Xenopus tropicalis: one gene and its partner. The protein of the gene in region 2 purifies or fractionates together with the protein of the main gene of each other region. This does not show direct contact. Links are inferred from orthologs where the notes say so. Each region holds a gene or a part of one and is shown on either strand. Other genes may lie near its edges.

Region 1 (15,694 bases), on a different chromosome or scaffold from region 2:
GACCTGCTAACATTCTTAATTTCATGGCGATATCCATGTTTCCATATAATGTTTATACATAAATAGGAATAATAAAGAAATTGCTGTTTTCTTGGTCATTTCTGCGATGACTGTAGCTTATATTTAGAAGTGAAAATATTCCCGTAATTTTAAGCACATGTAAATCAAATTAATAAATTATTAGAGCATTTTACTTGTCGTTTCTGTGTGGGCTAATCATGCTAGGTCATTATTGGAGCATTATGTAATTTCACAACTTGTATGAACAGCTGCAAGCACTTGGGGAGACATTTTTTTTTCTCTTAATTAGAATAATTCCATGATACAGTATAACTGCAGCGTTTCATAATTCTTTTGCACATATACCGTGTATACCTTAAGCATTTCAGAGGACATTTTGCTGCTGTAAAGGAAGGTTTGAGACCCATTTCTGTATAATATTAGATTTAATGTTGAATGTGAGATTCATCTTTGACTTCTATACAACTTCCTGTATTTTGGAAGAAGAAGCACAGTCATCCTCAGAGCCTCCCGTCCTTCCTGGAAGTGATTAATAAGATGTATACACATCTAAGTTTCATGTTCTGGTGATATATTTACCTTAACTGCCTTGTTGTGCTGCAGCCACAGTTAAAATGTTTCCCTGGCAGTGATTAATCTAGCAGTGTTGAAGTAACAAGCAGTGGCAATATTTAGATCATTTGGGTTAATTTGGCTGTCAGTCATTCAATTGGCCTCTTATACCTCAGTGCCTCTGCTTATGTTTTCCAATCAAAAGGTTAAGGAGAAAAAAATGTAATGTTCCATATTAAGGCAGCATAAACCAACAGTAATTACATGTCACTCATAATAACTGTGAAATTGCCCCTGTATCAATGAGCATTCATTAAATATACACAACAACACTGAAAGGAGCACTGGATCCAAAAAAACAGATTTGCTTAAACATAGATGTTTGTTATCCTTGAGCTTTAGACAGCCACACGCTAGCCATAAACCTGCACTAAACACTAGAAGCACAGAGTTATATCTATTTAGTTGTATTGTAATCCTGTTTATTGCCAATGCGTTACTACGGGATCAGTTAAAAAAGAATCACATTTGCTATTCAGAAGATGGTTTTTGTAAAAAATTCCTCTTTTGAATGTATCAGGAAAAAATATTGTTACTAGGTATACAGGTATAGGATATATAGTCTGGAATGCTTGGGAGCAAGGGTTTTCCAAAGGAATCTCCATACTTGCTACAAATCACTTAACCATTCAATAAACAGAATAGGATTGTTTTTCCTATAGATTATGCAGCTTACTTACCATTGTGCAAAATTATCCCCCCCAAAACACTTTAATTGAATTCAGCTGACAAGCGTCCCTCAACTCTGGCCCTAGTTACCTGGATTTCCAAAATGTCCTGCATGGATCCTGTCAGACCCATGTCTGACTTGGGCACAGCGACCTTCTTGGCCCCTACTATCAGACTTTACAGCAACAAGTTAACTTCTTTTCCTGATTTGGGAACCACAAAACTGGAAGTGTCATCCCTCAACTTGGTCAGGGGGAAGAAAATATATTTTATCTGTAGGGGGCGGTAGATTAGACCCTGCATTTTACCTCACCTGCATAGTCAAGGAACCAGAGACTTTTCACCCAAAACCAGACCACTTTGTGTGTATTCCATGGGTATCAGATTTGATTCAGGACTCTATTACAAGGTTGGATGGAAACTTTTGTGCCACTATATCTCAGTTTATTTCAGTGTAAGTCTATGGGGGGTAGTTTCAGCCATTCCTGCTGCCTTCCATTTGGGAAATGCCTGACAGCACCAGTACTAGAATATTTTTCTCAAATGTACCAATGGTCAAAATGCCTTATTTGCCATAGCCCTTAGATTTTAATTTTGGAGTTTGTGAATTCGAGTTGGTTTTTCTAACGCTTATTTTTTAATGTTGTAAACTCATTTGAATAAAAAAAAAAACTTGAATACATCGAATTTTTGAGTTTACAAACTCGACTAAAACTCAAATATCTTGAAAATAGGGCTTGACTTTTTCTAGGACAACTCCCATTGACTTCTATAGAAACTCTCAAACTTTTAGATGAAGTTTTACATTCCAATTTTCAAGCTTTTTAAATACCAGACATTCAAGTTTTTGAACCGTAATTCAAATTAGAGGGTTTTTTTTATATAGTAAAAAAAAAAAAAAAGCATGAAAAAAAAATCAAACTCAGACGTTGATGATTCACGCCTTTAACATCTGGTGATCCAAATTACAAAAAGATCACTTATCAGTAAACCCCAGGGAACCCCCAAACATTCTGGATAACAGGGCCCATTTTTATTGCAGAAAAAAACTGAGATCAGAGAAAAATAATAAGGAAAAAGTTACTCTTGTTTTATATTAAACATATTGAAATATATATACAGGTATATGATCCGTTATCCGATATCCAGTTATCCAGGAAGCTCCAAATTACGGAAAGGCCGTCTCCCATAGACTCCATTATAAGTAAATAATTCTAATTTTTCGAAATGATTCCTTTTTTCTCTGTAATAATAAAACAGTAGCTTGTACTTAATTCCAGCTATGATATAATAAATCCTTATTGGAGGCAGAACAATCCTATTGGGTTTATGTAACGTTTTAATAAATTTTAGGTTTTCCTGTCATGTGGAAAACCCCAGGACCCAAGCATATATATATATATATATATATATATATATATATATTATATATATGCACATATATACACACACACACACACACACTTTTTTTACCATAACCCTATAACCATGAATTCATTGTTTTAGCTCACAATTTGTCATCTGCATTTAGAATTATTGAACTTTTAACTAGTAGTTGGCTTAACTAATGATCACTTGTTTATCCCATTTTTCATTTACTTGTAAGTGCCCTTGAAAAATGTGCGTATTTAGCAATTTTTTAAGCAGTAGATGGCAGTTGTCTAGGGACATCATGTTTTTCTACTGTGATAAGAAAGTATACATTTTAATGTAAATATTATCATTGATACCATTAGGATTTTGTGCTTTGTAAGTAAACTCGATCCATCTTGACATTTCTTCCAATTCGTGGGGTCTTGAAATTTCTCCATTTTTCTGTATAATAAATAGACACAGATGGTTTTCTTCTTTACTAGGGTGTGTTGGAAATAAGGCACCACGGCCCACCATTAACTGTAAGGCTTTAATGGCAGTTTCCTCACTGTCCTGCAGTCTTGTTTCTGCTTGAGAACTTCTGAACTTGTGTCTGCACAATGTAAAGTGGAATGGATGTTACAAATCCTGGAGAATTGTATTATACACACAAAGCTCTGACAGACTTAAGTCTGTAAATCTGATAAAGGGATGTAATCATTATTTGTTTCAGACAAGCAATTGCGTGTGATAGAAACCAGAAAAACCAGTAATAAAATGAGGTAACAAGTTATTTCTGCATGGTCTCTCTACCTTAGAGAGTCTTTAAGAGTTTGTTTATGGCACCAATTCATACACAGAGAAGATATATTTTGTTCATATATGTCACAAGTTAATCCGGCGTATTTTAAATGGAAAATGAAGTGTGTGAACAAATGTAATAATTCACGGTTGACATTTATTGTAGCTCTACCATTCAGCTTTTATAATTTATTATGTACAGATACAAACCACAATTAAGTGGTTTTATTTTAACTAATAATAGCATTAGTGGGATTTCCTTTTTACTTACAGATCTTTAGAGGAAAAATATTTAGTGTCAAAAACCTTTTGCATAATGAAATAAGATGTAATTAGAAAAATGGCCCAATATACATTTTTTAAGAATTTTCAGTGGTTTTAATGTTACTGTAAATTTAATAGCAACTGAAAGCAGTATTTGTTTATCTCTTTCCGTTCTCTGATTAAGACTTTTGAAACTTCATGGGCCGATTCTAGCTGCTGATATCGGTCCCTTAGACCGATTTGGCAGCTAATTGCCCTGTGTAGGGGCACTAACGATGATCGGACAGGTTAAAAAATTTAGTCTGATTGGGGACCGCATTGGCTCGTTGATGCGGTCCCCGATCCGACTTCGCCTATACCCGTCGTTCTAATTCGATCGTTCAGCCTGGATTCGCCCGATATCACCCATTCTTAGGTGGGGGATATCGGGAGAAGATCCGCTCGCTTGACAACATCGCTGAAAGCAGTAAGTAGTGTTCTGATCATTATGTTAGACATCTGCTCCCTCCAGCCTTTATAGGTTACATTTTTGCCCAACTAACTATATTAAAAATATTTTTTATTTTGCGCATCTATCTATTTTACCCAGATTCATTTGTGCGCTGAACTGTTCCTTTACGTGTAGAGAATATAAAAAGATATTGCTTTCAATAGCAGTTACATTTAAAAATAACTTGAATGACATTGAAACATTTTAAATAATGTATACCACGCGGCCACAAAAAATTTACAGTCGTGATTGCTCATGTGGCCTGAACATGCTTAGAAACCTGTGCCACTATAATTAGTTTATACCCACAATGCAGCATTTTTCCAGATGGTGTAGTTTTAGGTGTGATACTGTTTGTGTCCTATTCCTTTGGTGCATCACTGCGGAGAGCCTGAAGCTATTGCCTATTTTGGAGGTGGTATTAGATATTATTATTATTATTAACATTTATTTATAAAGCTCCAACATATTCCGCAGCGCTGTACAACAAGTGGGTTTCATACATTGGACATACAGAGTAACATATAAAGCAATCAATAACCGATACAAGAGGGGAAGAGAGCCCTGCCCAAAAGAGCTTACAATCTACAAGATAAAGATGTAGTGATGCTTTGTGTTGCCCTGGCATATTTCAGTAACAATCCCCATCAGCTAATTAAATCTACAAACTATTTTGATTTTCTTGCTCAAAAACAAAAATCCCCAGAGTATACCAATTACAGACCTCCAATATCATTTTTTAAATAAAGCTTTTTATAGAGTAAGTGGACATTTTTAGTTGATAATCGAATGACACCATTATGCAGACTTACTAGATTTGCAAATTTACAGGTTTTTACAAGCCAGTAGGGTCCCTTCCTCAGGAAATCAGTTTAAGTTTTTTTCCCTATACTTGCTCAAAGAGCCTGGTTGTCCTTAAATGCTTGTGAATATATTTGCCCTATAATTTGACAGCATTGAGTCAACACCATTATAGGGACTGTACGCAATAAAAACAGAAACTGTTCAATGTAGCTTCCAGTCACCTCAGGATCAGATTTGGAGAAACTGGAATGTACACAATAAAACCTGCACACTGCTTGAGTACCATGCCCTTTGCAATGAAACATGGCATTGTTTGTTAGGTTTGGCTCTACTTCCAGTGGGTATATAATGGGAGAAACTAAATAATATACCTCACACTTGAATTATGCATTTTCTGTTTCAGAGCAACATTTTTGGAACACAGGCTTATAGGATTAACATTTGCCCTTAAAAATAAAGTATGTTGACTGCTGCAAGTGTTTCCAAAAAGCTTACACGGCATTTCCTTGTTTTCCTAAACTGACTTATAGTTGGAGTTAAATGCATTTACAAAACTGATATATTTTCATTTGGTATTGAGTACTAAGGCAAGGCGTGCTTCCTTTTTCACATATTAGTTATAAAGCTACAGCATAGCATGTGCATGCATTGCATAAAGGACTATCTAATTGTGCTCATTTATATGTTTGGTATTTTCATGCAATACTATACAGATAGGGTTGCCACCCTAGCCGGTAAAACACCTGCCAAGGCCGGGGCTGGTATTACAAATTTACCAGCAATGTAGCTGCCAGTAAATCTGTAATATCCTTAAGTTCAGCCCCTGGCCCACCCCTTTAACCCTCAATCTGCCCAGAACCCGCCCCAAAGGGGTTGAACTTGATGTACTTTGGTCTTTTTGTAACCCAACTTAACTACGTAACTGCATTGAGGTTTGCGGCTACCATCTTGGTTCTCTTTTTTTTCCCAGTTTTCACCAACCAGACACATGTGCAGTTGAAATGAGGTCCATATAGGCAACTGTGCATACCCCTCTTTTTCTTGCTCAGGAGGCACTTAAGGGCTATGTTGAAGTGCCTTCTGATTATGAAACGTGTAAAGTTCAAGGGGCCTTAGTGGATTCCTCGTGTCCTTTCATTAGCTCCTGACTGAAGCGCAATGGACAAGTCTGTCACAGAGTATGTATATGCAGAAGTGGGAAAAATATGGAAATAAGTAAAGCAGAGTAGAAAAAATAACTCAAATAACAAATAACTCTGTTACATTCACACACGCACAAGGGACAGTGTCATTAGAAGGGAAAACGGCCTTTATCTCTTGGAGTATAGGGAAATGCCTAGGGGAAATTCACACAGACACAGAAAACATGCATGCAAATAGTACTCAGGATGGCAAGGCAGCGGTACTAACTATAGAGCCGTCATGCTGCCCATTTCTTACCCATCACTGGCTTGTATGGAAATGTATACATACAAATATAAGAAAGAATTCTAAGTTCCAGATCAGAACGCATTATGGCATCATTCTTCAGTCAAAGTGCTCACGTCCCAATGTTTCCAGAGATCCTGTTTTTGACCACACTGACGGATCTTCACTTTTTTTATGATATGAATATAATCCTTACTAATAATTGGTATATACATTGTCACTGATTACTAAGGTCTGAAGCAGTTCCAGCTATATATAATGTAGGATAAAGAAATCATTTTATTCTTCACACCTTAGAGTGTGGCCATCCCTGTTTCTCTCTTTACTCTTCTAGCTGACACACAGCAAACACTATTTGCAGTATCCATGTTAATAGAGCACAAAATTGTGCCTACTGAGATATTTTTATTGAAAGCTAATAACTTTAATTAAGCATAATTGACAAGCATGCCTGGATATTTTTATAAGACATAATATATTTAATTAAGCATAATTGAGTAATTCAGCCAATGCTTAGTCAATTAACAAGCAAGGAGTTTACTCTTTCTACATGTTAAAAAGCAAATGCTTTTCAATTCACTTGGCAAGAAGAGCGCCTTTCTACTACAATGAACAGAATGGTCATTTTTTGCCTGTGGTTCTTCTCTGGGCATAGCATTACTGTCAGTGGAACTAACTTACTTGCCAAGTAGGTTTTCAAAAATCTTTAAATCCTTATTTCACCTCAAGCCCCCAAAACGCTTAATTTAAAATGATATTATGAAAAGGACAGATTTATACCTACTCTTCCCCATCTTCAAGTCCATACCCTTTGTATATTCATCACTATTCTACTAAGGTTTTCCTTTAGATTCCACAAAATCTATCTCCCACCCATCTGCCCCTCTATCTGGGACATTATTCTTATTTTATCATTTTTCTTGTCTATATTTTTGGGGCAGAAGCACTTTCAAAAGACAGCCCTTAGCAAGTAGTGGATTTTGAATTTTCTTTTAGTTTTATTTTTTTTTCCTCTTATTCACAAAATAAATTTGTATGTGACTATAATTCCTTTTCCTCTCTTACTTTGCCACAGAGACTTCTTGTTAGTGCTATCCTCTTTATTCTCTGGTATTTTCTTACTCCTAAGCATTCTTAATTTTTTTTCATGTAAATACAGGTATGGGATCCATTATCCAGAAAGCTCCAAATTACAGAAATCCTGTCTCCCATAGACTGAATTTTATTTAAATAATTCAGATTTTTAAAATGTATTTCCTTTTTCTCTTTAATAATAAAACAGTACCTTGTATTTGATCCCAACTGAGATATAATTAATCTTCTTTTGATGCAAAACAATCCTATTGGGTTTATTTAATGTTTTATTGTTTCTTTAGTAGACTTAAGTTATGGAGATCCAAATTATGGAAAGGTCCCTTATCTGGAATACCCTTGGTCTCGAGCATTCTGGATAAAGGGTCCCATACCTGTATTTGGACCTATGCCAACATCCAGTTCCTTTTTGGGTCAAAAAAATTGCCAAAAGGATTTCTATTGTCAGTATTACCATACACTACACCAAACTGGGCATCAGTCCCCATTTATAAGGTCTCAAGGGAATGTTTGGAATCATCAAAATACATTTCATTGCTTTGCCATAATAAATTTCTGATTTTTATATGTACATAAACATACACATGTATTTGTTTAATTAGATGACTGCAAAGCAAAGCTAATGCTACAATTTATGTATATGTGCCTAGATTAATACATCTGTTATTCCTTTTTAGTCGACTTGGAGCACATGCGAACAGTAAAAGCTGATAAACATCAGAGGTTCTGCCAAGAAAACAACCTAGGAAGTTATTTTGTTTCCGCAAAGACAGGAGATTCTGTAAGTAAAAATATGACAACATCAATATTGTCATTTGTGTTAGAACAAAGCTTGGAATCTGAAAGTGAAACTAGAAGAAAAATGATAGAAAAGGGTGTAGACTTATTGAGATGACCATGATAATACACATTTCTGCTTGGTTTTACAACTGGGTCATAAAAATGAAAATCTAAAGCCAAGGGAGAAAGCTTTGTGTAGTGAAGAAGAGGATATAAATTGTTTTTCCTGAGGAACTAGTTTTATTGGAGCTTTCTAAATTAAAAGTCAGATTGATTGTAGGAACAGATGCCTTGTGTCTAAAGGTATTTAGAGATTAGGATTTCTCAGGGGAGCACCTACATGCAACAGGGCCCTTAACCTTATGTTTCTAACAAGTTCTGTATTTAAGCAAACTACACTATAATAACCAAGAAATAAAGGAATGCTGTCTATGTGGAGTTGGCAATGGCAAGAAAAAAGTTTTGATACAGGGTTGAGGTTGAAATAGTTGTTGTGGTTTCTGGACCTAAGTTGCATCACCAGAGACTGTATTCTATGGGAAAGGACCGGGGCTGTACGTTCGGTACATAAATGCTTCAACTCCAACACTAACTCTTCAGTTTATGGTACCTCCAACTCCTCTGTTTTTAATATACAGATATAACAAACTTGCTCACTAGGAAGCTCACGCACTACCCTGTTGGCCATCCAAGCCTGTCACCACCAACATAAATGAGGATCCTGTTCAAGTTTGTGTCTAAATCTGTAACTAAGCCTGTGACATTGTGGCTCTTTATTTTATTTATTAAATAAACTACAAACATTCCCTAAACCTAAAGTGTGAACAAAAGACAAAAATGAAACCAGTAAGGTTATAATAGCTGAGCTGGACTTAACACTAGTTACGCACTGGCCTTCATTCTTACAACAGAGAAGTACTGTATTATGACTATGTATTATCTCTGAAATAGTACATTGTTTTTTTCATGCCAATTTAAATTTATTAGGAGTCGGAACATTTTTGCCTACTCCGACTCTAGGCACCCAAAATGGCCTCTGATGCCACAGCTCTGGAAAGGACAGTTAGGTGATGCCTCAGACCTGTAAGACACCCCATAAATCCCCCTTACCCTATTGTAAGAATTATTTTTGAAAAGTAATAACACCATAATGCTAACATAGTTAATTGAACAAACCGTAGGGAGAATTCTGCTGCTGCCTGACTCCAAAGGAAAGAAAAATTACGGTATGAGAAAGTTCAGCTTTTCTTACTTGCTTCATTGTTCAGCAGCACCAAAAAGCCTCATTTACAAAGCCCTTGGGAGCAAGAGCACAAAAGGGCTCATGAGTGAGCCCAGTGCTTAATTGTTTAACTAGGACCAACTCAGCTCTGCCTCATATTTACTAAAATTATTTTCTAAAATCATTTGTTAAAATGTTAACCAGTGCAATGACAGTATGCCTTTAAGGTGGTAAAAATCCAGCCGTTAATTTTCAAGTGCTTTTTTCAGCCAGTAGTACATCAGCGTAGAACAGCGGGAGATGACAAATCATAAACTGATGACTTGTGACATATAAACTTGGACTTCATCAACAGACCAAAGCCGCCAGTTCCATCAGTAAATCTTTAGGAACCAAACATTAGTAATCATGTATAAGGCAACTGTTAAACTTAATTGTCCATGACAACAAATAAGAAACACGGAGGACTGGCAATACAGTATTAGGGTGGATGCATGTTTTTCTTTTTCATTTCAAAAGGCACCATTTTTGGTAAGCTGATGAATGCAAGCTTTTTAATTATTATGATAACACCAACCTTCAGTGTTTACCTTATTTTTAATTAAATGTTTCTCTTTCCAACTGTTCCCCTTATTTTTCCTTTCCTTGGATTCATAGGTCTGTTTGGGCAGGCCCACAGTTGCACATAGCAGAGCTAATAGCAATTTTTTTTTTTTTTTTTTTTTTTAAAACCTGTTTCATCTACATGTGTTGCTTTATACATAAAATACATATATCAGTATCACGTCTAGCACAGAACAAATGATTGGTTCGTTTCATTAACAGAAAAGGTAAAAGTAAGAATATTGTACTACTGGCTGGAAAGTGAGGCTGTCCCACAAAAAAGATTAATCAGTGAACATTATCTTTGAAATCTTTAAATACCACTCCTGTTGTCCAAAGTTAATATTGAGGCTGCAGCATCCCCTTAATCACCCAGGATTCTTTCTCCTCCTCTAACCCATTTGGCCCCTCCCTCGGGAATTGGCTTTGGCTCTTGGCTTACTGAGCATGCTCAGTTTTTTCAGCTTCAGTTTAGCAGGCAATAAAGACATGGCATTGCTGGTTCCCACAGAATCTTGCTCTAGCTGTCTGCTCTTATATTTTATCCAAACTCCTCTCCTGAACTCAGGTTAACCATTACAGTGCTCAATCCAAGCAGGACCTTTTATCAGTAACTAAGTTCTGCCTGTGTAAGCCTGCATTCTTCATTGCAGGAACCAAATAAGTATCTTTGCGCACATGTGCTGTTTGCAGATGTAAACTTCACTGATGATGTGTGAGAGGAAAAATGGCCAGCAGTTGAAATTTGCTATTTGCTTTAGGAAAATGTGATTGTGCTTGTGAATATGGTGCAGTTGTATATGGTGTACCACTACTGAAATCCCTGGTCTCAAAGCTGTTTATTTGTTGTAAAGAGTGGGATTAGAGAATCCCTTTGAAGGTTCTTTTAAATGGGATTTCTGTGTTTGGAGCCTTTCAAGGGATTTTTCACTATCTGTAATATGTGGAACAAAAAACAAGGCACCATTTTTTAACCTGCCCTTAAAATATCTGGCAAGCCATCATATTGCTCCCAGCCACGGCCAATAAGCTCCCAAGTTGGCCTTGAGTGCCCAAGTTGGCAGCCACTGTTTGTCTGTGTATGGCTATCATAAGGTATTTTAAGGACTGGGGAGTAGAAATTCAGTGTTTACATGTCGACAGTGTTTACAGTTCAGGAAAGACTTGATGTATTTGAAAGTAACTAGAGGATGTCTGTTTTTAATCATTTAAACTCCTTTTTTCCCTTTGTAGGTTTTCCTGTGTTTTCAGAGAGTTGCTGCTGAGATCCTTGGAATCAAATTAAACAAAGCAGAAATTGAACAATCTCAGGTAATAATCCCACCAATATTTGCCCCCATCCCCCCAAAAAAATATATGAATATTAGGATGCTGCAGTAAATTTTTTTTTTATTTGCAAAATATAATTATGTTCCATAACTTCCAGTGATAACACTAAGGGGCTGATTTACTAAGACACGAATTCGAATCCGAATTGGAAAAATTCCGATTGGAAAACGAACATTTTGCGTCTTTTTCGTATTTTTTGCGATTTTTTTTTTTGGCGCCTTTACGACTTTTCGGAAATTGTCGCGACTTTTTCGTTACCAATACGATTTTTGCGAAAAAACGCGAGTTTTTCGTAGCCATTACGATTCACTCGTATCTTGTCGCGACTTTTTCGTATTGAGCGCTCGTAAGCGGCGGCCGAAACTTTCAGACTTAGCATGATTTTGGAAGCCTCCCATAGGACTCAATGGCACCCTGCAGCTCCAACCTGGCCCAAGAAAAGTCACCATACTGAAGCTTGAATGAATCCGAACGCTATGAAAAAATCGCAACATTTTGCGCAACTTTCGGAATGGCTACGAAAAAGGCGCGACTTTTCGCGCAAGTTTTAACGCTACGAAAAAATCGTCAGATTTTGAGCAACATTCGGATGGCAACGAAAAAGTTGCGATAATTTTCCGAAAAAATCGCCAAATACCGATCGTTACGAAAAAAAACCCCCCCTGGCATTCGGCCAGTTTGTGAGTAAGTAAATGGGCCCCTAATAGTGTTCATTCTTACCTATAGCCTCATAGGCATCACCTGGTATATTTTAACTAAAGCATTTTAGTTTAATGCAGCTTGTTACAATTAAAGGTTATGATGAAGGCATAATATTCAGCAAATTAATCAGATTTGTCACTCACAAGAGAGGGTGTGGCCAGCCGTAGAGCTGTTCACAAGAACTGAGTAATACTCAATTTTGTAGCTCTAGTTGTGCATGATATGATTTTTTCATACAATTCTATGCCTATTGTATACCAAGATATCTAAAGGCAATGTCTGAGCATGTGATGTTACATTGCACAACTGAAGTAACAAATTATAGTGTATGCAAATTCAGGGCTTATCCCACCTTCACAAATCTACAGATAAAGATGTATTATAAATTATAATACTTATTAAGGCCCATAGACCGCAATGTTTACAACTTATCTCAGCTAACCTATTGTTTCTCCTACTCCCATGTAACTGGAGGAGTCCCAAGCCGGACTTGGATTTCTTACTATTGAGTGCTATTCTGATACCTACTGGGAGCTGCTATCTTGCTCCCTTCCCATTGTTCTGCTGATCGGCTGCTGGGAGGGGGGGTATCACTCCAACTTGCAGCGCAGCAGTAAAGTGTGACTGAAGCACATGTCACGTGGCTGTGGTACCCTGGGAAATGAAGAATATGGCTAGCTCCATGTGAAATTTTGAAATTAAATATAAAGAAATGTGTTTGTGTTTTTGATAAAAGGATTTTAATGCAGGATTCTGCTGAAGAAGCTCTATTAACTGATGGGTTTTGAAAAAAACATGTTTTCTCATGACAGTATTCCTTTAAATTATGTAGTTGTCATAAAAACAGTCCAGGTTATCCTGATACTTAATGTTAACATGGATCCCACACAACATGCTTAAACTTGTTTTGTGGTATCGCCATCTTAAAATGGTCAGGGTATAAAATATTGTAAGACAACAATGTCATGGATTCCCCGTGGCATATTCATATATAATAAATTGTCTTGAATCTTTGTAATACATTTTATTACATTCTTACTAATAGATACAATGAAGTTGTTAGACCCGATGACCAATACTTTCTAATTGGAACTAGTTTCAAATGCTAGTTTCTCTAATGCTCACAAAAAAAGGAATGGCAAGTATTTAAAAATAGGATCCATAATATATACAGTAGTAAATATAACCTACGCTTTATCATAAAATCTCCTGGCTGTAGACTGTAGATCGTAAAATTAGTAATGATTAATGTAAAGATTACAACAAAGGAAATGAAGTAAATAAGCAGTAGTTAATTACATTTTCCTTGGTGACCGCATTTTAGTGTAAGTTGAAACAATTTTTATTATTGCAGAAAAAAAAAACGTTGCATTTGGATCACAGCCTTATAAGGACTTTTTATTAAAAATAAATAAATAAATAAATATATTGAATTCCCTTAATTACTAAAATAAGGGGATAGCCATAGCCCAGTAATATTTCATTTAAAAGTCTTTGCTTAGGGAATAAGAATTTGATTACTTTTTGATCATTCACCACTCAGAGCACTATAAGTAGTAGTAGAGATATGTTAGAGATAAATATTAATAGATAGAAGTGTTCTGGTATGGGATCCGTTTTCCAGAAAGCTCTGAATTATGGGAAGGCCATTAAATAACCACATTAAATGCATCTCAATCTTATAAGGAGCAAGCTGCATCTTTGTGTATAAGGTTGGGACAAGACGTATCCAGTTATTAACATCCTATGAATATGAAAAGCCTTTGAGTCTAATAGGACTTTAGCATCATTCATTTACTGTGCTGACCCATGGCCAGCCCTACAGGCAGATGCCTTCAGCCAATTACATAAGAGCATTTTTCTCAACCAGATTCAATTAGAAGAATAAACTGAGTTTAGGCTTGTCAATATTTGTTATTGCCCTAAATTTCTATAGTGCCAACTTAACCACATTAAATGCACAGATTTTAACAGAGATTGTTAAATGATTGCTTCACTCCCTGCATCAGTGGAACTTACAATGAAGAATCAAAGCTTTGAGGTATAAGTCAGCATTTGTTCACTTACCTTTGACATCCTGTGAGTGCTTCCACTATATTTGTGTTTATAATTACAGTGCTAGCAGCCATTTTCACTCAAGACAAAGACTAAATAGTTATAGCCATTGGTCCAATAACTAACTTAAAAAAAAAATCTTTCAGCGCTAGGAGTGCATTTCATACTTAGCAGCAAAAGCCATCCAGTAACTGTTTTCTAATTTCTAAATATGGCCCTATAATGTCAATTTTATCCTTTTGAAGACCTAAAGGTTTGTACGTTTGTATGTTTTAATTTATAAAAAAGTTGTTTTTCATAACTTTCACACATTCATTTCATTTTCATCTTCTGTTTCTTTATATCATTGTTTTTATATTAGTTCCAATTGAAGGCACTCAAATTTTGTTTCTACTCACTTCCATACTGACCAAGCTCAGTAGCATCAAACTCTTTGTGGGCAAATATTTAGTCAGGTGGGCACAAAAGCAGTTCATTATATAAGAAGAGATATTCTCATCTAGGGCTTTTGAGCCTCCAATGAACCTTGGTATTTCCCATCACACAAATTGCCTCAAATTAGCCTAAGGCAGAACAATAAAGATAGGACAGTTGGTTTTTTTTTCCCAAAAAGCTTTTTAAATCAAAATAGAAAGTATAGAAGCATATCATTTTTGCTAATGTTAAAGCTGGGATAAAATGTGCTCTTATAATTATTATCCCTTTACAGCAATGTCACACATGACAGACACTTTGTCGTCCAAAGTAAATCTGTTACCGTAGAAAATACCCCTAGTTTGCTTCCCCTTGGCAGTAATGTGAATTGCTGGTGGGAAAACACGTCGTGTTTGCTTCCTGAAGTTGCGTCATGAAGTAATTTTGGGCTACTTCCCGACGCATGTGTTTTCCTGGTAAGACATGATGGTGTTAGAAAGGAAAATTTGCAAAGCTTAGGGATTATTATACAAATATATTGTAACTGGTTTGCTTAAAATCATGGGATATCCCTGGAAGTATCTTAGCAGTTTCACACAATATTTCTATTTGACATACAGAAAGGGAATATAATTAAAAAAATATATGGTACTTTGCCTTTAATATCTTTGCCACCTGTTGGACTAAAACATATTAAAATGTTTTTATTTACTTCTTTGTGTTTTCTTTTTTTTCTGTTCATTTAGATTTCATCCTTTCTTTAACCATTTAATTGTATTTCTTTATCTCTTTTTCTTTATTTTCATGCTGATTGTTGGCTACCATACTTATTACATCTGCCTGGCAGCGTATTGTAAAGGCAGAAATTATCAACTTTCCTGAAGAGCAAAATCCAGTCAACTCCACAAATCAGAGTAAAATTTGCTTATTACAGTAGATAAGGTACTGAACCAAACAAAGTATTATACATAAAAACATGTGTAATACAACTGATTTCTGCTAAAGAAAACAATAATGCCTTTGTGCAACATTCACAAATCTAACAGTTCATATAT
Region 2 (16,415 bases):
AATATGAAAGCAAATCCTTAGAATATAGCATTCTCCATATTTCTAATTTAAACCACAGCAACACATCACTAGAAGAAAGAACACATTAATATATCATACATCAGGGGTCCCCAACCTTTTTAGCACCACGGGCGGGTAGGAGGTAAAAAAAAATTTCCACGGACCGGAGGCAAAGGGGAGGGGGGCGGGGCGCGGCGCGTAATACATGCAACGGGCTGGGGGGGGGGGGGGTGCGCTGCGGCCCACTGCCATGCCGTCCACGGCCCGGAACTGGTCCGCGGCCCGGCGGTTGGGGACCTCTGTCAAACATGACTCAAATTAAAATCAATATTTAATGCTAGATGCAAAGGGAAATGTAAGTGAACCATATTGTTTTACACCATTAACTGACCAGTTTCTGATAGAAGACATAAAGCTTCAGAGATCAAGTAACTTCGATAGTGTGTTCTGGACAACTACCGAATCTTCCACTGCGTTTTAAAATGTGTGGACAATCATCCTAAAGGATCAAAACCTATCCACAACAAAATTCAGCTTTTGTAATTAACAACACTCTCAAGTTAACAGCCGTAAAGTTGTAGTACAATGGTTCAAATTCAGTAAGAAAAAGTGACCTAGGGACAGTGTATACTACCTCTTAAATAAGACTTATTAAAGGGAAAGTATGCACATTAACAATTTTGCTGAACAGGAGAATAATAAATAGGACTGGAGATAAAAAAACAAAGTAAGTTTTTCAAACTATGATATGGAGCCCCTCCTATTCCTAAGCTTCAACTTATGTTAGGCTTTGAAATAAGGAGCAGCATTTAACTCAAGACATTCTTTGGCACTACATTGCCTTACACGTAAAGAGTTGTTTTTTTTTTTTTTGCATTTTATTGCATGGCAAGCACAAAGGCTTGGCATTAATCTGACTGTAGGCTGAATGCACATCATTTACTTTTCAGTTAAATGCATTAAACTGAAACTGGGGATTTAAAGGAGATTTGCCACATTAGTGCCACCTAGAGCAATATATTTATTCTGCACAAAGTATTAACATACCTGAGTAAACAGCCTTAGAAGCTTTCTCCGTTTGCTTAAGATAGCAGCTGCCATTTTAAGTAGCTTCCTGCCTCCAGTCTAGCCGCTATAGCTCAGATCACACATTCCTAAGGGAGGGGGGAGGGAGTTTTGGTGGGAGGGGGAGCAGGAAAGGGGAAAGAGAAAAGAGCTGTGTTTCTTTTGCAGCATTACTGTAAATGCTTATGGCTGTATTCACATAGATCTTTCGGATTAGGCTTACTTTTCCTTTCCTTCTCCTATAAAGGACAATGAAAGCTCAACTGAGTGGTGGTGCCTCACTTATTGTCACCACCAAGTGAACTAAGCTTTCATTGTCCTTTAAATTGCTATGTGTTTTTCCCAGATTAGGTTTGTCACCTGTCCAGGTTTCAGAGGGAATGTCCAGGTGAAAACTGCCTGCCCGGTTTTCCAAATTAGGAGATCTGGACAGGACATCCCAGAATGTCAAAGAATGTCAGTCCCATGTCCTAAAATCTAAAGCCACCCCCTGCCCAGAGTTACTTTAATAAGGCAACAGGTGGCAACCCAAAGCCCAATGCTTCTTTTAGAGAAACAAAAAAAGCAGAAGCACCACAGTCAGAAAGGTTTTCCCGCCGTTTACGATCGTTCGGATATGAAAATTTCTTGCCTATCGGATTGACAATTGTTTCAATGTGAAAGTTTCGGATCGTAAGTACAAAATCTTCGTATTCAAACGAACTGAAATTTGGTGACTTTTGCAAACATCAGAAACTATCAGATTTTGCGATTCGGATTCGTACTTTAAGGAATCTGGCCCCTATTCTCATCTTAAAATAGTAGTTTGTAAACACCTAACATCAAAATGGCTCTGACAGAAATCCGATATCGTTTGGCTCAGTGTCGGACTGGGCTGTGAAGGGCCCACCGGGACTCCGGTCCCAGGGGCCCTTCAGGTGCACTCATCCGGGCGCGTCCTCAAATCCCCCCCCCCCGTAGGGGCCCCCTTAGCCCCCCCCCTCGCAGGGCCCCCACCCGACGTCCTCCCCGGGCGCATAAATTTGACGCGTCAGGGGAGGAGCGTTCAGGAGGGGGAGCGCCGGCAAGGGTCGGGTCTGGGCTGCCAGGGCCCACCGGGATTTTTCCCGGTGTCCCGGCGGCTCAGTCCGACCCTGGTTTGGCTACAGGCATAGGATTATTCCTCTTGGTCTCATATTCCAAAAGCCACAAAGAATTTTTAAAACATATAAGGGATCTCATCATTGAAAGGTATCAGTCAGGATAGGGGTACAAAAAGCAAGACGAAAGCCTTTAAGTTGGCCCATACACACGCCAATATTATCGTACAAAATGAGGTTATGGTGCGATATGTTGGATTAACGAGCCGATATTGCAAAATCCTTGTATATTCGTTGTCTCGTCGATCAGGTGGGACAGACAATTTTGATTGCCCCCCCATTGAAGGCACCCAAGCAAAGGCAATCATTTAGGGCTTAATCATCAGATAGGGGTAGAATTCCTATTGTTTCTACCTCCATTCCCGAAGATTCAGCTCTGAGCGTTAGTGGAGGGTACAAGCGACCATTGATCACAGGAAATATCAATTATAACGTGTATGTCCACCTTTACTCACAAAGAAAAACATCCAAGCCTGCCTAAAATTTGCAAAAAGGTATACCCAGTCCCTCACAACCTTGTGAAAAAAAATGTATTATGGTCTGATGAAACCAATGTTGAACTATCTGGCCATAATACCAAAAGATATACTTGGTGCAAAAATTACACAGCACATCACAAGGACACTATACCCACAGTGAAGCATGGTGGAGGCAGCATTGTGCTTTTGGGCAGCTTTTCTTCAGCTGGAACTGGTGTTTAGGCAATGTGGATGGGATCATGCATAGTTCCAAATCCTTCAAACATCCGTTAGGAAGATGAAGATAAAGAGGAACTTCACCTTTCATCAACCCAAAGAATACATCTAAATCAATAATGCAATGGCTTCACCCAAGGAGTATTAATGTTCTGGAATGGCTCAGCCAGAGCCCAGACCTTAATCTGACTGGTAATCAGTGGGTTGACCTGAAGAGAGCTGTGCACAGGAGATGCCCTCACAATTTGACAGATCTGGAAATTTTTGCAAGGAGTGGGCAGAAAAAACTGCCAAGTCCAGAAGTGCTAAAACTCAGAGCTTTAATAAAATCAAAAGGTGCTTCAAGCAAGTTTTCAACTTTGTTGTATAGATCGCAATTTTGCAATAAAGGTGGAATAAGTTCTGACAGGATTTCTGTTTTGTTTTTTTTTTAACAAAAACCTGCCATTTTGCAGGGGTGTGTAGACTTTCTATATCCACTAAATGCCTTGTCACACTGCAGATCCTAGAAGGCTTAGGACAAAGATGCTAAATGTTTCTCATACTGTAATCTCTGGCAATATAAAAATGGTGGCGGAAAAAGCGAGCAGCTGTCAGAATAATCTAGCTTTCTACAAACGAATACAAAATCAAAACGGAAGCTGGAAGAAAAATGTATTGTTTTGCTTACCTTTTTCATTTTAATAGAAAGCAAACAAGAAAAGCACAGAGAAATACAAACTTCAAACAAGAAATTGATTTCCCAGCAATAGAAAAAAAAAAAAATCATGTACCTCTGGTTTCATCCATTCCCCGAATTCTACAAATAAAGCCCTTGCACGCAAGGCCCATCTGCTGATGTGAGTTTGTATCAGTGTGTCATTATTTGTAACTGGTGTAGCACATTGCACAGTTCTACAGTCAATGTCTGGAGTCAATTCAACAACAATAAGAGAAATTCTATTTATACTGTTAGAGGCCCCTGTGACCACTTGTGGCTGTTTGATACTGGTTGATGGAGCTTCTAGTATTTTCCATATTACACTAAGCCTCGATAAATATTGGAGCATTAAATACAATAACATTCCAAAGGGAAACTAATGATTATGATAAAATTAGGTTATTTGTGTAGAGACCGTTGTGCCACTTTCCCAAACCACAAACAGAACGTAATGTTAAATCTATGTACATAAAAAGGACAAGGGCGCACAGTGCGTATATCTACTTCTCTCAGCCCTGTGTTTTTCAGTCAGACTGAAAGAAGCTTATCTCCTTGCCTGCACAATAAACTACAGTGTGGGCACACAGAGTGAAGAGGATCGGAGGTCAGTCTGAAAAACGAATGCTTTCATGTTTTTCAGGTGCAGGAAAAGGTGATGTACCGTGCTAGCCAGTCAAAATGTTTACAGGGTAACCCTTTTGAAATAAAAACAAAAGTGTTATAAAAGGCGATACCTTTATTGGCTAAGATAATCATAGCAAGCTTTCAGAACATTAAGCTTGAAAAAGGAACTAAAATGTTCTGAAAGCTTGCTATGATTATATTAGTTAGACAATAAAGGTATCACCTTTATACCACTTTTTTTTTTTCAGCCTGACTAAAAAACACAGGGCTGAGAGAAGTGAACATTTGCACCTTCTGCCTTTGCCCTAATGTAAAAGTTTACCTATTAAGTTTTTTAATTATTTTTTAACACTGTAGTTTTATGCCTTTGTAAAGGTAACCTTTTACATTTCTTTTTCAGTACAGAATCATCGCCAACCACTATTTCAGCAGTACCTGTAAATAAATGATCGGTGGTGCCAGGGCCATCTAGACATTGCCTCACTACTACACCATTACTTCCTCTTACCAGTGCAGCTTGAGGGACTATGGCATAAAGCATAAATTACCACCAAGCCCGTTGGCAGACCAAAATACAGCTGTAATTCCTAACCGAACCTGAGCGACAACTAATTTAATCCAACATGGGAAAACATTTTGTCACTCTAGCTATTCATACTAGTTTTCAGTTAGAACTATTATTTATACTGTTATACTGTTAAATGTAATCTTGTTACGATCATAATGACATGTATTATCTAATCTCTATTATAACATAATTTGTCCAACCACTATAATCAATAAACATTTCTGATAAATCAGGTATATTTTCTCTTAAAAAGAAAAAAAAAAACATTTTAATTTCTTTAACCAGGCAAAACAGAATACATGCTGTACCACAGCCAAGTTGTCCTTGGGGTAACTCACAATCCCGAATCAATTTACAGTAAAAATTAGAAAAACTGGTGTATGCCTTAAATATACTGTAAAGCAGTGTTCCCCAACCAATGGCTCGTGAGCAACAAGTTGCTCGCCAACCCTTTGGATGTTGCTCCCAGTTGCTGCATAAAAACCCAGTGTAATTGCCAAACAGAGCCTTCTGTAGGCTTCCAGTCAACATAGGGCATATATGTCAAACACAAGGCCCGGGGGCCAAATGCGGCCCACCTGGCTGTTTTATGTGGCCCTTGGTGAGTGAGTCTGACCATCCAGCCTGATCAATTTCCATTTTCCTCACATAGTAACTAAGACTAAGGGGTATATTTATCATGCTGTGTAAAAAGTGGAGTGAAGCATTACCAGTAATGTTGCCCAGGGCAACCAATCAGTAATCAGATTTCAACAGTAGCAAAGCATCTATTGGCTGCTATGAGCAACATCACCACATTGTGATAAATATACCCCTTAGTATCTTACTAAGTATATTAATAAAAAATTTGGCCCACGACTTAGTCTGTGTTTTAGATTTTGGCCCCCTTATGTGATTGAGTTTGACACCCCTGACATAGGGGCTATTAAATAGCCAATTATAGCTCTCATTGGCACCTCCAGGAACTTTTTTCATGCTTATGTTGCTCTCCAAAACTTTTTTCATTTGAATGTGGTTTACTTCTACAAAATGATTGGGGATCCCTGCTGTAAAGGAACACTTTGAAAGAAAAAAAACAAAACTTTAGATCACTACTATAAATGTTCCAGATAACATATCTAAGAAAAAAATGAAAGTCATCCTACCATAATAGTATTAATGCTCTAAAGGTGATATGTGTCTCTGTGTGATCCTCCTTTAAACAGTGGTGTTAAAAGGGGCTCTGTGTAGCTTGCCATTTCTGTCTTCAGTTGCAAGCTTTTTTTTTTTTGTTACCTTTAGCGGTGGTATTGTACATTTCTTGTGTCCCCAAACTTACTCCACAGGTCCAAATACATACTTTGCCCAATGCATTTCATCTTGGTAGGCTTTCTAAAGTTATATGGTCTAACTAAACCAAACGACAAAAGGGAAAATTCCCAGTAGGTCCAGGCACAAGTGAGCTCTCCTTTTCTCCAAGAATGTGGCTTTCTATGAAAGTATTATAGCTATTCTCTTAGAAAAAATAAATAAATACCAAAAACAGAAGTAACAAAAAAAAAAAAACAGTGGGGGTAATTTACTAACATAGGTGCTCAACTGCACTGGTACAAGTTTACATCACAACCTATGGATATCAGATTTTGTAGGATTAAATCTGACCCACAAAAGTAGGGATGCACCAAATCCAGGATTTGATTCGGGACTCGGCCAAGATTCAGCCAAATCCACACTCTTGGCCGAGCCAAATCCTCAAAATCACATTACTTATGGTCACAAACACGGCTCTAAACCCTTACTTATCCTAATTTACGAATACAAATTAGTATTCAGACTGTTTGGTATTTGGCCGAAACATTTACGATAGCGGATTCATTGCATCCCTACACAAAATCTAATTTAAAAAAGTTACTCAGCAGAACTGCAAAAGAAAAATGCAAGGGTAAAATTTTACCTGTAGTTAGCTACACATATAAAAATCCACTGGTTTGTTCAGGCTGCGATGTTGAAGCAGAGTCAAGTCATATTTAAGCACCCAAAATAAGAAAATCTCTGCAGCCCGCCGCTGGATACTTAAGGCAAAAGCCAGCAGTGATACTGAGGGAGAACTTGATCTTTAGCGATCAGTGCATGCTCAGTACAGTAGGATTGCCTGTTCATGTGCTTATCAAAAGATGGAAGAAAGGGAGTGAGCTGAGCAGAGTCTGACTGGAGTGACTGGGGCCCACTGGGTACTTGACTTAAGGGGTCCACCACCCAGCCAGTGCTGCTCCTAGCTCACCAAGTTCCCACTCCGGAAGATGGCCGTTCCACAGTAGAACTTATGCCCATCTTTAACTTTTAAAGGAACAGTTCAGTGTAAAACTGAAACTGGGTAAAATAGACTGTGCAAAATAAAAAAATGTTTTCAATATGGTTAGTTAGCCGAAAATGTAATCTATAAAGTATTATGTAGGCAGATGTCTAACATAGTAGCCAGAACACTACTTCCTCCTCCTAAGTTGTTAACAGTCAGTTACCAATCAGTGACTTGAGTGGACATAACATTTTGCACAGTCTATTTTACACAGTTTCATTTTTTACTAAACTGTTCCTTAAACAGCAAAATAAGTAGCACAGCTAAGCAGGGAGAGGTGATGGCTGGGGCTTGCGGGCAGACTGGCATTCAAAACAGGCCATGGCATTTCAGGCAGAGATGCCCAAACCAAACAGCCCCCCATCAACCCACTAGTGACTGTCTATGGCATCTTACAGCAGCCTCTCTGGCATTTGCCAGCCAGGGCTTGGGTGGCAGGGTCTGGGCCCACTGAGATTTTTCCTGATATCCTGGTAGTCCAGTTTGACCCTGGAGCTAAGGTCCAGTGCTTAAGGCAGCACCAGACAAATTAAAAAGTTTAGCTTCCATACAGGGCCCAGTGGGCTGCCTATATCGGTCTGTGTATAGACACATGGAAAGACTAAGAATCCTATATATACTAGGGGCTGCCAAAATGTAAAGCACTACCCAGTGCATTACATTACTATACTATCTCCTCAGACCGATGCTCCTTTGTGTCCTTATTTTTTCAGATTTTAGTCTATTACACATGCTCAAATCTAAGTTTATGAAAGGCACAGCTGAACCACTTTTAGAAAGTTTCCCAAGCCAGTAGTGATGTCGGGGTCGACTTCTTGTCGACCTGCACCCCCCCCCCCTCTCCATCTGCACCCAAACTGGCCCGCAGCTTCATGTCTATTAAATAAAAAAAGACTCCAGTGATTAAATTCACTTAGAGGGGAATTTACATATCAACACTTCCCCTACCCCAATGACAAGGTTTCTTTCCCATTAAAGACACAACACATACAAGACCTTAACCACATCATCAAAAATAAGTCTACTTCTATAGAAATAGACCTAGCAATCTGTAATAATGACCACCCCTTCAGATCAAAAAAACCTTATAGAAGCCACTTATCATATACCTCTGCCTATGGCATGAATTCAAACAAAAAAAAAACCACTCATTGAGAAAATGAAATCAAATATCTGATAGGTTGTCATGAGCAACTGAATTGGTGATATGTAGTAGTTGTTATCTTAGTAAATCATCCATACAGAGAGTTAACCCATACAAAATGGCTGCAATGTAACCGATCTAGTGCTTATTTCATAATGCCAGCAGTTGTTGTTTGTCTGTTAAACAAGCAGGTCTGATGCAGACTTGCACTTTTTTGTAGTATTTTATTATACAAATTTTGAGGTGTTTATTGCGTCTCTGAATCCCAATAGTGTGTGTATTTGATGCATTTAATGTTCTAGCACCAAATATAAACCTATAGATAAGTATATCACATATGGTCACACCATGCTGATAGTTTGCATTAATGCCGTATTGCAGGGAAGTCCTACCTGTGGCCTGCCATCTGGACTAGATCTCCCTAAGCGCTAATCACTAATCACTTTTAATCTTCCAAGAGATGCTGAAAGCTCAACAGCTGGAGGGCCAGAGGCTGGTCATCAATGCAACACTGAGATAAAAAAAAATAAAGCCTGAATCACCAGACGCCACTCATTTTTTTGACTTAAATTTATATCTTATACTTACAACACCTGACCTACACCAAGGGACCCATAATTGTGATATCACTTTCTCATAACATGCTCTTTTCCACTTACACCCTTATTGTTGGATACAGTTTGAATCCCTTTAGGATTTGCTTGGCTCTCTCATCCTGAGACATGTTGAATGCTGTCCTTGATTTCCTTTATCAGTTGAAGGATTATCCCTTGAGATATACAGTTCAAGTTTTCCGGTCCTAGTTATGCAAAAGCTATAAAAGCCAGTGTTGAGTTTTACAGTGATTACAATAGACTTCTGGCCTCTGTAGATGATCCAGGTTTGTTAAGCCTGCATAAGATTCATACTGACACAACAAAAGTTTAGTTTGGTTTAAAATTAAATACGATGGTCTTGGAACAGTACTGGTATAAGTCTTGTTTAATTTAAATTTCAGAAAGTACATGCATGACGGTCTCTCGCTGGCCAGTAGAATGACAATAAAATAGGTGTGGCCTAACCCTAACTTGGACTGTCAGAGTAATTCCATTTCAGCCAGTGCTAGCAACAGCAACCAGCACAAGCAATCATAGGTGATCCAACAGTAGCTTCACTCTCTCAGTACATACACGTTTTAATATGCAATATCTTGAGATGTGTCCAAGTGCCAATTCTGGCAGGTGAGTTGGGGCCCTTGCAGCAATTGATGATATGGACAATACACAAAATATAACTGCAATGGTAGATGGTTTGAGCCAGAAAGGGTACAGGCAAGCGATATCAGCCAGTCAGACCACAGGTAGGCTGTACAGGCCAGACATAGTGCAGGTAGGTCGGTGCTGGGGTAATCTAGCAGCATAAACAGCTTCTATGCATTAAGTAGTAGTTCCACACCTATATCACACCCACCACATAGAGTAATAATCCTGAACAGAATTTGCAGTTTTACTTGCACCTGGAGGCGAGCAGCGTGGATTCTGCCTCTGACAGACGCCCTGATCAGCTTTCCGTAACACAGAGGTCCCAGGGCCACGGCACTGGGAAGAACTCTACAATGTTGCACTGCTTTCCGGAATCGTATAGTAACTACTCGTTATGTCAGCATGGATTTAACAACTAGCTCCTCGTCTACAGGATCTGGCTAAGAAGATTTACTAAGCTACATCAGTTCCTCCTATTTGCCCTATGACGTTTAGTACAGTTCAACAAAAAATGCTAGCACCGGCCAATCACAGTCGGAATCCCTGCTGAGTGATATCGCCACGCACCAATTAGGAGAGAGAGAACGTCGCACGCAGGGCGGGACAAATCGATTTCAAGTCTGGTTGAGTGCTCGCGCGTCACTAATTTGAGGAACCTCATGTTGCATAGAAACGGAGGAAAGTTGTACGGGACACGAAAAGGGTCAAAATACATTCACTGGCTACTTGTTCCAGGTGGTAATAGAGAATAATTGAGTTTGGGTGATCTTGCAAAGTTTACTTACTGAAGCAAAGCAATTTAGAGCACAAGTTCACATGTTCACAACTCGTGTAGGTAACTTAATGCATTACATGATGACTGTTAGTAACTACATAGTTGGGAAGATACTGGATTCTATTTTTTTTTATTTTAGGTTAAATTTACTGGCGCAAATTTTCTCCCCCTCTTATTCAACCATAGTTTACAGACCCGGACTGTGATTCAAAATAGGACATGGCATTTCTATTATACAGAGGCCCAAATAGCCCCCCCCCCCCTCCCCAATAAATAGTGACTTGTAGATTGTAAGCTCTTTTGGGCAGGGCCCTCTTCACCTCTTGTATCGGTTACTGATTGCTTTATATGTTACTCTGTATGTCCAATGTATGTAACCCACATATTGTACAGCGCTGCGGAATATGTTGGCGCTTTATAAATAAATGTTAATGTAATAATTTATAGTGCACATCAGGCATTTACCAGAATACACAGATTACCAGTCCAGGCCTGAGGGGCACCGAAATTATATTATATAATGAGAGGCAGTGGGTACTGACTCACAAAATACATTTTATATAATGGGAGGAACTACGTACTGAAAAACCAAATATAAACTGAGAGGAAGTGGGCATTGAAACACTGCCAGGAGAGCTAGTAGGGAGAGGCGACACAAAAATTCTCTTAACTGCACAAAAACTGGATACCTACAGTGGCTTGCAAAAGTATTCGGCCCCCTTGAACTTTTCCACATTTTGTCACATTACAGCCACAAACATGAATCGATTTTATTGGAATTCCACGTGAAAGACCAATACAAAGTGGTGTACACGTGAGAAGTGGAACGAAAATCATACATGATTCCAAACATTTTTTACAAATAAATAACTGCAAAGTGGGGTGTGCGTAATTATTCAGCCCCCTGAGTCAATACTTTGTAGAACCACCTTTTGCTGCAATTACAGCTGCCAGGCTTTTAGGGTATGTCTCTACCAGCTTTGCACATCTAGAGACTGAAATCCTTGCCCATTCTTCTTTGCAAAACAGCTCCAGCTCAGTCAGATTAGATGGACAGCGTTTATGGACAGCAGTTTTCAGATATTGCCGCAGATTCTCGATTGGATTTAGATCTGGACTTTGACTGGGCCATTCCAACACGTGGATATGTTTTGTTTTAAACCAGGGATCCCCAACCTTTTATACCCGTGAGCCACATTCAGATGGAAAAAGTTTTGGGGAGCAACACGCGCATGGAAAACGTTCCTGGGGGTGCCAAATAAGAGCTATAATTGGTTATTTGGTAGCCTGTATGTAGACTGGCAGCCTACAGAAGGCTCAGTTTGGCTTTACACTGGGTTTCATGCAACCAAAACTTGCCTCCAAGCCAGGAATTCTAAAATGAGCAGCTACTTTGAGGTCCCTGGGAGCAACGTCCTAGGGGTTGGGGAGCAACATGTTGCTCACAAACCACTGGTTGGGGATCACTGTTTTAAACCATTCCATTGTTGCCCTGGCTTTATGTTTAGGGTCGTTGTCCTGCTGGAAGGTAAACCTCCGCCCCAGTCTCAAGTCTTTTGCAGACTCCAAGAGGTTTTCTTCCAAGATTGCCCTGTATTTGGCTCCATCCATCTTCCCATCAACTCTGACCAGCTTCCCTGTCCCTGCTGAAGAGAAGCACCCCCAGAGCATGATGCTGCCACCACCATATTTGACAGTGGGGATGGTGTGTTCAGAGTGATGTGCAGTGTTAGTTTTCCGCCACACATAGCGTTTTGCATTTTGGCCAAAAAGTTCCATTTTGGTCTCATCTGACCAGAGCACCTTCTTCCACATGTTTGCTGTGTCCCCCACATGGCTTGTGGCAAACTGCAAACAGGACTTCTTATGGTTTTCTGTTAACAATGGCTTTCTTCTTGCCACTCTTCCATAAAGGCCAACTTTGTGCAGTGCACGACTAATAGTTGTCCTATGGACAGATTCCCCCACTTGAGCTGTAGATTTCTGCAGCTCGTCCAGAGTCACCATGGGCCTCTTGGCTGCATTTCTGATCAGCGCTCTCCTTGTTCGGCCTGTGAGTTTAGGTGGACGGCCTTGTCTTGGTAGGTTTACAGTTGTGCCATACTCCTTCCATTTCTGAATGATCGTTTGAACAGTGCTCTGTGGGATGTTCAAGGCTTTGGAAATCTGTTTGTAGCCTAAGCCTGCTTTAAATTTCTCAATAACTTTATCCCTGACATGTCTGGTGTGTTCTTTGGACTTCACGGTGTTGTTGCTCCCAATATTCTCTTAGACAACCTCTGAGGCCGTCACAGAGCAGCTGTATTTGTACTGACATTAGATTACACACAGGTGCACTCTATTTAGTCATTAGCACTCATCAGGCAATGTCTATGGGCAACTGACTGCACTCAGACCAAAGGGGGCTGAATAATTACGCACACCCCACTTTGCAGTTGTTTATTTGTAAAATATGTTTGGAATCATGTATGATTTTCGTTCCACTTCTCACGTGTACACCACTTTGTATTGGTCTTTCACGTGGAATTCCAATAAAATAGATTCATGTTTGTGGCTGTAATGTGACAAAATGTGGAAAAGTTCAAGGGGGCTGAATACTTTTGCAAGCCACTGTAGATGCTATTTAACCAGAGACAGGGAGAATGCCCTGTTTCTCTTGTGCAGGTCAGAGCGCAGAATGTGGTCAGATAATTAAGGGATCATTCCTTCAGAATCTGCTATGGCTGTAATTGAGTACACAACTATATACATTATCAGAGCTATAAACCCCAGGGGATTGTTGTGACATGCAAATCGCGCCGTCCATATTCTGGTGGGGTGTGTTGTTTGACGTCATCCCACATGCACACAATGCACATGACATCATGAAATGTTCACTGCACACTGCACTTTTTGCAATTGGAAATGATGTGTGCTTCTCTGAATACATGTGGCGTGATGTGGCTATTTCATTTATCAAGGACTGTCCAGTCCAACCACCCCCTGTATTCAGAGGAGCCCCAATTAGTTGTTGTAGGGGATGTCATTAGAAGCACATTAGAAGCTATTGTTAAGCAATGTATTTGGGAACCCCACTAACTACCAATGATTCATGATAAAGACAGGTATGAGGGCAAGATTGGTGCATGGGAATAAACATTTTTTGGGCCTGCAGTTCCAATGCCTATGTCAAAATGTATCTGCCCAATCAGATTTCAACTATAATAGGGAACAACAACATGTAACAAAACATGTATATGAGGGTTTTCAAAGGTTCAGATCTTTATAGCCATATGTTTAGCCCAAGATTCCATAGTACTACTGTAGAACTATTCAGCAGTGCATTGCGGAAATGAAAAAAAAAAACGTGTAACGTGTTCCTAACAGTTTTCAAGGGTGCAGAGCTTTGCCATCAATTTACTCCAAAATCACACTTTACTATTTGACCAATAAGTGCCCCATTACATTGTGTTGAAATACTACTAAGCACATTGTTGCAAAGGAGAAACCATAAGTATGGGTTCATCAGCTAATATTGGGTACAGACCCCTCACCTATCTAACTTCTCAGCATCACAAATGTTTTCAAGGCATAGTGCCTTTTCCAAGCAACAATATATGCAACAGAAAGTGATTAAGGAACCCAGAGCAAAGAATGTTTGGTCACAACATTATGAACACAATGGTGAGCTTGTACCCTGCTCACAAGCATAGAAAAAAGGTAAGTATAGAATATTTCTGAAATTCTGTTATTTCCCAGTAGAATCCAGCAGAGACCTGATAGTAATTTTATGATTTATCTTCCTGGTTGGTGTCCATGCATTCCATTAGACAGGGTTGAACTGGGGTGTGCAAGAGCCCTGGTGGGCGCTGCACCCCCGAAGGGGCCCCCACCATGGCCTCCACACAACCTGCAGGGGCCCAGCCACCTTCCCTTCCCTGAGTGTGTGTAAATTAAACTTACCTTTAGCATGTTGGAGGAGGAAGACCGGCGGCCCAGGGGAGTGGCCAGGGGGATCAGGTTTGGGTTGCTGTGGCCCACCGGGTTTTTTCCTGGTGCCACCAGCCCAATCCTACAAGGTAGTGAAGGCACAACCCAGAGGCAAAGCAAGAATTAATCATCCCCTGTTGAGATGTATTAGAAATAAATAAAAGGAGAGTAGTGGGATGTGACTGATATTAAAAGTAAAAATAATTCTGCTAACAAATAATGTTTTCTTTCCTTACCCTGCACCTAAGAGTATATTTATCATATTCTGGGGTAGATTCCAAACCAGTGGTGCTAGAGTTTAATGGGGAGGTTTAATACTCAACGTATATTTATCTTACACTGTAGGTAAAAGAGACCTGCATGTTGAGCTTATGGCAGCTCCCACACAAACAAATGACAGTAAATGGCATCCCATGGGCATAACAAGCAATGTTAATGGGCTTGGATATGTTAGGCTTTGATCACAGACTTGAAACATATGAACATTTAGTATAAGAAAGCGGATAAACTAACTACATAGGAAATGTATGAGGGTAGCTTGCTGCACCTTCTTCTCTTATGGATGCTCTGAAAATAATCACAGTACCTGCTAGCTTAAAAGAAAATATATCCTTAAACCCTACCATTTTTAAGAAGATTTATCTATAACTGACTATAGAGATATGTACCTGGCTTTGCACTGGGTAACCAGCCCATGCCCGGGTGACACCTGCGACAGGGCAAGAGACCTCAACTGTTGGGAAGTGACATTTGGTAAAAAGACTTTTCGTCCAGAGCAATTCAATTCAGCAATTCAAGCACTGCGCCTTCACATAAGAAAAGAAGAAGAACAGGAAGTAGAGAATAGGTTGAGGGTGTCTGTACCATTACATGCTGGTGGGTCACTGTAACTGTATATGGTGGGGTTGTAAAAAAAAAAAAAGGCACAAAGTTCTTACAGGTCTAGTCACCTATACTGTGTCTAATGCTGGTAGTGCTAAATTACCTATTATTATTGCCTGAACTATAAATAAAGTCTCTTTTCTCCACTAGGAAAAGCTGATACCAAGAGACCCCCAGCTCAGTTTTCAAGGCCTGACCCATTCAGCATGTCCACTTAAGGTGGCCCTACACAGGCCGATTTTAGCTGCCAATATCAGTACCTTAGACCGATAGGGACCAAAATCTGACCTAAAAACTTATAGATTAAAAAATTTAGTCAGATCGGGGACTGCATCGGCTCGTTGATCCCCAGGGCCAAACGACCGAATTAGCCTGAATTCGCCAATATCGCCCACCCGTAGGTGGGGATATCGAGAGAAGATCCTCTTGCTTGGCGATCTTAACGTGTATGGCCACCTTTACTTACACTTTCTATTCTGTGCTGGGAGGAGGATTTGGCAAAGTGAGTGACTGGTTCTCATTAAGCACAACTCTTTTTTGTAGGGTGTAAATCCTAAATATGGTGGAAAATAAAAGAACTGAGTGCTCTGGGTACTATTTCCAATGATGCGTAAAGAAACAAAATCCAAATCTGATTTCCCAACTATATACCAATGTGTTTTCCATCTTAGTGCGCTAAACACATATTATTTGCTATGTAAACAGTGTAATTTATAAAATAAAAAGTATACCATAAAAATCATGACAGAATCCCTTTATTAAACACGAAAAGTATACAGAGTGCAGTATGGAGTAGTAGACATGTGAATACAATATCCAAAAAATAAGTATACATATGTATATGCTTATAAAAGATAATATTCAACAGAAAGCATACAAAAATTGATCAAATCTATCTTCAACTGGATCTCACATGTTGGGGTAGTAGATTTGATTTCTGAAATGAATGACTACATTTTATATGCCCTTTTTTCTTCAAATGTAATATAACGGTCTAGAGTTTGCTACTTGTCTAGTAACTTATAGCAACCCATAAGCAGGCACATTTTTAAGAAAATGTTAGACTTTTTAATATAGTACCCCATATATTTGCTCCTTTTTCCTTCCATAGGGCTCATTTAGTAACACTGGAAAATTCTGTAACCCATTGCCATCAATCAGTGATTAGGTTTTTTCAGCCTGCTGCATGTAGAACTATAAAAGCAAAAATTGATTGCCATGGTTTACTGCCAGTGCAAATTTGCGCAGTGTTGATAATTAAGCCCCTTATTATGCCAT

The links.
Region 1: the proteins of retinal rod rhodopsin-sensitive cGMP 3',5'-cyclic phosphodiesterase subunit delta (region 2) and rab28 purify together in Homo sapiens (affinity purification with mass spectrometry; 3 studies listed by BioGRID and IntAct, with this or other methods). This does not show direct contact. The link is inferred for Xenopus tropicalis from reciprocal best matches to the Homo sapiens genes PDE6D and RAB28.

Annotation. Positions count from the first base shown.
Region 1 is NC_030677.2:27,321,414-27,337,107, reverse strand, and holds part of rab28 (ras-related protein Rab-28), read left to right. Parts: intron 1-8,211; coding exon 8,212-8,315; intron 8,316-11,372; coding exon 11,373-11,450; intron 11,451-15,486; coding exon of another isoform or gene 15,487-15,576; exon of another isoform or gene 15,577-15,581; intron 15,582-15,694.
Region 2 is NC_030681.2:101,172,369-101,188,783, forward strand, and holds the start of retinal rod rhodopsin-sensitive cGMP 3',5'-cyclic phosphodiesterase subunit delta, read right to left. Parts: upstream 10,021-16,415; 5' UTR 8,995-10,020; coding exon 8,948-8,994; intron 1-8,947. UniProt on the Homo sapiens protein: Promotes the release of prenylated target proteins from cellular membranes. Modulates the activity of prenylated or palmitoylated Ras family members by regulating their subcellular location.